Linked DNA regions of Bombyx mori. The protein of the gene in region 1 binds, or shares a complex with, the protein of each later gene. Links are inferred from orthologs where the notes say so. Each region holds a gene or a part of one and is shown in the gene's direction. Other genes may lie near its edges.

Region 1 (3,760 bases):
AAAGTTAAATCAGAAAAATCCAAAGGATCGAATAAAATTATCCAGAGAAAAAAACAGAATAATTAAAAATAACAAAACTTCACTTTTGACCGTAAAACAGAAAGTATTATTGAAGAAGACATATTTTCTATTAAAAGTTCATAACTTTAGTCCAAAAGTAATAAAATATATACCGCGCCCAAGCCGTACACATCCTCATAAATTTTATTAACAACCGCTCTAAAAGCGTCAGAGAGACATAAATACTTACTAAACTTAAATTAGGTAGATTTGCAAGATAGTAAATAAAACGCTTCAGAAACTAAATCCAAATGTAAATAATTTCCTTATTTTAAATGACTTATGCCAAAGTTCTCGAATATTTTAACTTGGCATGTGCAGGCAAGCTCACAGTTACTTGAAGACAATGGATCGATAATAAATGCCGTATTTTACATGAAAGGAGCCTACCTTGAACGTATGTAAACAAATGTAGCGACAGCCACAAGAATATCCAGTTTCTCACGCCGTAAGCTACGATCCCTGTCCGAAACATGGTTCAAACCAATAGAAGACCACTGCACTAGAGGTTTTAATTCATAACTATCACATTTTCACATAAAATCAAAAATATTTATGTTAAAGTTCACAGATAACGAATTCGGAGCGATACTACGCGATCCGCCATTTTCATGTCCACTTACGTTCGGAAACAATTCGATATTGAAAGGGCATTGCCCGGGACGAAACGGAGCGCCCTGAAGTTAGTACACTTCGTTGATTTCTGTCAAACGAGAAATGGAATTGGCAATGGAAATTCTGACATACAATATGAAATTCGAAATCGCTAGGAGACAAAACATTTAAAAAATAAATATAATCCGTGCCAACCAAAAATACGTATAATCCTTTTATCATTCGTTACATACAATTGGTACTTCCACAAATAAATATATAAATTCAGATCCAAGCAATAATAAAACGTTATTGTCATTTTGACACATTTTAAAAACTGACGTGATAGGTATCAACAAATAAAGTTTTTGCAATCTTATTAACTTCAAATTTCCAACCTGCTTTACATGCGTATTTTAATAAACATTAAACATTTCGTTCACAAATCGCTAACCGCAGTCCGCGGTAGTTTGTAATGGAGCTAATATACTCTATGAGACGCAAGCCACTTAAATGTGAACCTCCGCACTTCGAAAAGTAAATAGTTTAAATTTATATCAAAAGTTTATATTTCTATCCAAATTTACTAAAGTTTACAAATTCTTCTTCTTCTTGCTTCGGTTTCCTCAATACTGAGGGTCGTGACCATCTCCTCGCAACAAGAGTTTACAAATTAAGATATCTTTAACGGCAGTAACATCAACTTATTTTTTAAGTTACCGTTGTTCATGATGCCTTCCATCATAAGAAAACACTAAAAGGATAAAAATAACAAATTAAGGAGAAAAGTAATAGGAGACTGCTCAGCTCATGGATGTATATTATAAAAAGAGCTGACTTTAGAACTTATCACATCTACATAAAATTCAAGTATTTTAAAATAGTCCCATGCGTTCTGTGTTCTGTTTGTAAAACATTATTTCTGTTTCTTGGTGTTACATAAACTCAATGCTTAATAATGTTGTCTATTTCTAGTGTAAAAGACTCTGAAGTAGTCCGACCAATATGTACAATATCATGTGCAAATATCATAGCATTCTCATCACCGACAGAGCTTAGTGATGTGGACGGAGCAACATGGGGAGGTCATGTGTATGTATGTGACTTAGATACCCCATGGAACAGTCACAAAGTTACAAGTACAGCTTATCCTGTAAGTGTGAAATAGTAAAAGTATAATGAAACTATGTGATACAGATCAGTTATTCAAAAGTGGTATAATTTTACAACCAAATGAGCTCTTTATGTATTAACACTATTAATGAGTTTCCATATCAAATAGTAGACTAGAACCCTATGTGGCCAGGTTTTGTTCGCATAAGTGAACAGACCAGCTCACTCACCAAGAGTTAAACAATTACGGGAGATGATAAACAGTGTCAGATGATCGTCATTGCCTACCATCATTATGTTGGAGAAATATTCAGTGAGACTCTTTAAACCTTACACACATCTACATTAATGCTATCAAATGTCAATCTGTTCATATTATCAATATTTTAGGATCTACAGTAATTGATTTCACTGTGGTTATGATATGATTTACTCATGATTTACAGATATGATTTACTCATATTTGTAACTTCTTCATAACTTAGTATTTGTGATGATATATGCTTCTTACTTATAATTGATATCCACATCAACAATTTCAATTATTTAACAAAATGATCTAAAAACTAGTTTATAGCAGTGATTCTCAAACCCTGTGCTGCCAAAATTTTGAAGTTTGCTGTCAAATTTTATACTCAAATGATGACCATACTATTTTATACGGTCTATAGGTTCGGAAAAATACATTAAGCTATCTAAAAGTTTGTATGGAAATACTCTTACAACTTTGTTTCTTTATGCAACTATGTTCTAATAAAATAATGGATACAAATTCCAGGTGTCAGCTCTAGAGTGGGACCTGGAAGGCAAACAGTTGTTAGTAGCCACTACAGTGGGTGATGTGTCTGTCTATGGACAGAAAGACTTCCTCCTCAATGATTGGACATGTCTTTACAGTGCTAACTTCCCTGGTAAGATAAAAATTTAACTACCTAAGTACAAAACTAGTTATTTTAGTAAAATTGTTTATCTTAAAGCATTACGACTACTGCCACTTCTCTGATGTTGTCGTACACTAAATGCATTGCTATTTTAAAATCTTTAATGTAATTTTGAGTCAACTTTTTTAATTGATTTATGCATAGGGGTTGTTTGTGGTACCTAAGAACATATAAGATCAGATGGCTCTCTAAGTGCAAACTTAATTCAGCCCTTATTTAAACGCTTAGATAGTCAACATTTTCATATTCTGGTACCATCGCCCTGTCTGTTCTATCATGAGACATAATGTGGCTCCAATTGATGTTTGGGATAGCTGTCACTGCAACATGACTCTGGTCCCATGTCTCATGATGAGTGGTGGCTTTTAAAAATATTTCTTTGAATAGATCTTAATAAGTTATAAACATGTAATAAAGATTCTTTTCAAGGCCATATCAATAAAGATGTTTTCTTGTTTTTTATTTTTCATTTTTGTCAATAAATGACAAAATATTTCAGGAGAACACATAATCCAAGGGGCCTTTTTCCACAATGGACGTCGTGTGGTGGCCGTGGATAAAAAATCAGATGCGGTTATCCCTGAAAAAATACAAATGCTTCGGTTCTCTCCTACTCTCAAGGGATTCGGGTGAGTGTATCGGGAGCTTGTGCAATCTCTCAGTAGGTGCAAAACAGACTGCAGAGCTACTTATTGTTTCTGACAATTAATCTAATTATAAAGATAAAGAAACCTTTATTAACAATCTTAATGCATATTTAGGTACATACTATTAATGTAATTTGTCGTGATCGTGACATTTCTTCTTCCACGTAGAACCTGCAATGGCCTTTATGTTGTCTACCCACCTTTAGAACGGTAGTTCTTTTAACCAATCAGTTTCTAATTTAGCCCATTTTTTCTGTTTTGCTTCTTATTAGATTTATCCAATTATCCAAGACTAGCTTTTGACCGCGACATCGTCCGCGTGAAATAGTTCACAAATAATGGTTTATTTTAGAACAAATTTGGTTAGCATAAAAAACATTATGGTGAGCCAACCTTCACATATAG
Region 2 (3,760 bases), on another chromosome or scaffold:
GATAAATACATCAGACTTCAATTTTCCATTTAGGAATGCAGTGGGAATGTCTAGTTGAATAATCTTTAAATCATCTTGTACAGCTTTTGATAAGATCATTCTTATGGTAGAATGTCTAGCAACGGGTGCATAAACGCTGTCAAAAATATCTTTTTTCTTTTGTTGGAAGCCTCTAGCTACCAGTCTTGCCTTTTTTGTTCCATCTTCTTTTAGTTTAAATATCCATTTTGTATCAATGAGCTTTCTTCCATCGGTTATTTCTTGTTCTTCCCACGTTTCTAGTCTTTGGAGTGCATCTAGTTCTTTATTGATTGCGTTTTTCCATTCTGGTTCTTTTATAGCTTCTTCGAAAGTTTCTGGTGCATTTGCACTCAGACATATAACAATATTAGTTTCATTTATGTTTTCTATATTCGTCTCGTAATCTTTAAGATAAGCAGGAGGATTTATCGTTCTTTTGGGTCTGATTATTGCTTCTTCAATTTGATCAGTGTTCATTTCTGCATCTTTAAATTCATCTTCCTGTTCTACAATATCTTGCTTTTCTTTATTGATTTCTTCTTCTTTGTCTTGAATATATCTAACTTGTTTCACTTCTTCTTTGTTTTTGAATTTAATGTCGCTTTCATCAAATCTTACATCTCTGGAAATAACTATTTTATCTTCTTCTGGATCCCATAATCTGTAACCAACAGTTCCATAACCTACCATTCTTGTTTCTTTTGCTCTCTTGGCAAACTTGTCCGGTTTGGGTACTATAGTAGCCCAAGCTTTGGAACCAAATACTCTCAATCTCGATATGTCGTTTTTACCAAAAAATATTCCGCTGGGTGTCTTGAAGCTTATGGCCCATGATGGCGATCTGTTTAATTGGTAAACTGCACATTGTATTGCTTCGCACCACAGATGTTTTGGCAAATTGGTTTCCGCTAATAGAGTCCTCGTTTTGTCGCATAATGTGCGGTTCATTCGTTCTGATATGCCATTAAGTTGTGGCGTGTACGGTAATGTGTATTCTAAACTAATACCTCTATTTATGCAAAAAAGTTTCAAACTGTTAGCAGTGTACTCTCCACCATTATCGCATCTAATTCTTTTAACTTTATTCCCCGTTTCGTTTTCAATTCTTAATACATAGTTCATCAGTCGTTCTGTTGCTTCAGATTTGCTCTTCAGGGGATACACTACGCAAAAATGAGAGAAATCGTCAATAATTTTCATAAAATATTTTTCACCATTAGGTCCTTGATGTCTGATCGGTCCTGCTATGTCTGTGTGAAGCATCTCGGCTGTCATTTTTGTTCTAGGCTTTGGGATAGGCGTGAACGGGCTTCGGGTGGCTTTGCCCTCCATACAAGGACTGCAAATTCTATTAGATACAGGTAAGTTTAGTATATTAAGGCTTTTCCTATTTAAGTGACCTAAACGTTTGTGCCATAGATCTGTCGCATCAGTAATATTACAGACTTCGGACTTACATAATTCGGCTTGTAGCTTATACAACTTTCCTTGCACGATGCCGCGTAAAAATGTCTTTTTATTAAATATTTTAACATTGTATTTATTAAAGTTTATGTTAAAACCTGCCTCGACAATCTTTTTTACTGATAATAAATTGTATGAAACATCTTTCACAATTAGAGCATCAATATTAATCGTAGTATTTTGATATTTTACTTTAAGTTTACCTCTTTTACTAGTTGTAATACATTGGCCGTTAGCTACGAATATTTTGACATGTTTATCTAAATACGTAATATCCGTCATATAATTTTCATATTTTTCATTTATTAAATGCTCCGTACATCCTGAGTCTATAATTAGTTCTATGTTACCACATTCACCCACATTAGCAATAATATCGCTAGCAATGAAACCTATTTCTTTATTTTCTGTGCCTGCTGCTGAAGCATGTTGATACGTTGTATGTCGTGAACTTGAATTTCCTCTAAATGAGCGTCCACACGATCTTGGATAGCTCCGTCCTCGTGTCAATGACTGTCCTCTACTCGGCGCTTGTCCTCGTCCTGATCGGCATTCGAATGATTTGTGTCCACGTTTTCCGCAGGAGTGGCACGTGATGAAGGCATTATTCTCATAACCTTCACTATTTCTGTCCATTTTTAACTTTGTCTCCATATCGAGTAGTCTTGCTTTAACAAATTCTATGTTCAGTTGTTTCTCGGAACCCATAGTCTCAATTGATGTAATTAATTGATCGTATATCTTTGGTAAAGAAGACAGCAGATAGCAAATTTGGTCTTCTACTTCGACGCTTACGTTGATTGCCGCTAATTCGCTAAGAATTCCTTCAAATTTTAGGAAAAATTGCTGTAAGTTGCTTTCATCATCATAGCACATTGTTATGAGTTTCCGTTTTAAATAAAATTTATTACAGACTGTTTTTCGTTCAAATATGGCCTCCAATGACGTTAGCATTTCTTTTGTCGTATTCGCATTTTTTACGATGTAAATATATTTGTCGCTCAGACATTGTACCAAAATTGATTTTGCTCGTGAGTCATCCTGATCCGTCGGTTTCTCTTTTAAGAATACATTGCTTAATTACTTTTCTTCCAGCAGTAATTTCAATCTAAATTTCCAATGACTAAAATTTGAATTTTCAGTCAAAATCGGCAGAAGAGACCTCGCAGTTGTCATCTTTCTTTTTTATAATTTTCGCCGATATTATTTCTAGTGGATCGCAACCCAATATATTTTTATTTACTTACTGCACACGCGGTCTGCTACCATGTTAAGATTTTATATGAAAGAATAAGCAGACTCTTTTTATTATCATCAGTTATATTTTATTCACACGACACAATCTTATTAAGTAGAGAATGTATCCATGGTAGCGAGTCAACATTACTAGTGCGGCGACACGCAGCTAGTGCTATATCTCAACATGTAAGATAAGGACTCAGTCGATACTGTTAGTAGTTTCTCGGGTTCTTTTAAAATTATCTTTGAATTCTCACCAAATTCTAACTATTTTAACTAGAGATTCTTTTATTTCATCTCATCCAAAAACTATGGTGTTGTCTGTTATCATTGCCTTTAATCTTGTCCCATTAGGTACTAATATTATAAAGAGGAAAGATTTGTTTGTTTGTTTGTTTCGAATAGACTCCGAAACTACTGGACCAATTTGAAAAATTCTTTTTCCATTAGAAGCCGACATTGTCCCTGATGAACATAGGCTAATTTTTTTTAATTTTTTTTATTTTATTTTTTTGGTTTCATGTGTGTTTTAATGTTTCCGAAGCGAAGCGAGGGCGGGTCGCTAGTTAGGTATAATTTCTAATAGATAATGTAGATTTTCCCACCGTCTAGTATCCGAACTTCTTAAAAACAGTCTGTCAAGTGTATTGGGATCCAAGCGGTTCCGCTCATCACTTGCGTTATTGCAGGCAATTGAAGCGCTCTCACAAGGTAAAGATGATGCCTCAATACTCATATACATCATGGCTCTGTTAGCACATCCCACTTCTCCTGGATGAGCCTTTGCTCGCCCACATGTCCTGGTGAAACTGGAAAGGCCTCTGGCCCACCAGTGATCCCTCATTCATAAAAGAAAAACATGGCTATTGAGTGGACGTAGTGTTAGATGGTTTTTTTTCTTCTTTTCTTGCCAGTGAAGTATGTGGTCATACTTCAGGTACACAACTGCCTGCAAATAAATAGTGTTCAATTTCTTCGTCTAAGCCTTCATTTCTCAGTGCAATAAATGTAAAAAGTTGCTTTTTCATCAGCAATT

Evidence for each region.
Region 2: mediator of RNA polymerase II transcription subunit 16 (region 1) and mediator of RNA polymerase II transcription subunit 20 share a complex: the UniProt entries of both Drosophila melanogaster proteins name them as parts of the mediator complex. The link is inferred for Bombyx mori from reciprocal best matches to the Drosophila melanogaster genes MED16 and MED20.

Annotation. Positions count from the first base shown.
Region 1 is NC_085108.1:235,738-239,497, forward strand, and holds the start of mediator of RNA polymerase II transcription subunit 16, read left to right. Parts: upstream 1-973; 5' UTR 974-1,129; coding exon 1,130-1,191; intron 1,192-1,629; coding exon 1,630-1,807; intron 1,808-2,545; coding exon 2,546-2,678; intron 2,679-3,207; coding exon 3,208-3,337; intron 3,338-3,760. Other genes in the region: neogenin, read right to left, coding at 451-535. UniProt on the Drosophila melanogaster protein: Component of the Mediator complex, a coactivator involved in the regulated transcription of nearly all RNA polymerase II-dependent genes.
Region 2 is NC_085134.1:1,812,893-1,816,652, reverse strand, and holds the start of mediator of RNA polymerase II transcription subunit 20, read left to right. Parts: upstream 1-1,212; 5' UTR 1,213-1,248; coding exon 1,249-1,382; intron 1,383-3,760. UniProt on the Drosophila melanogaster protein: Component of the Mediator complex, a coactivator involved in the regulated transcription of nearly all RNA polymerase II-dependent genes.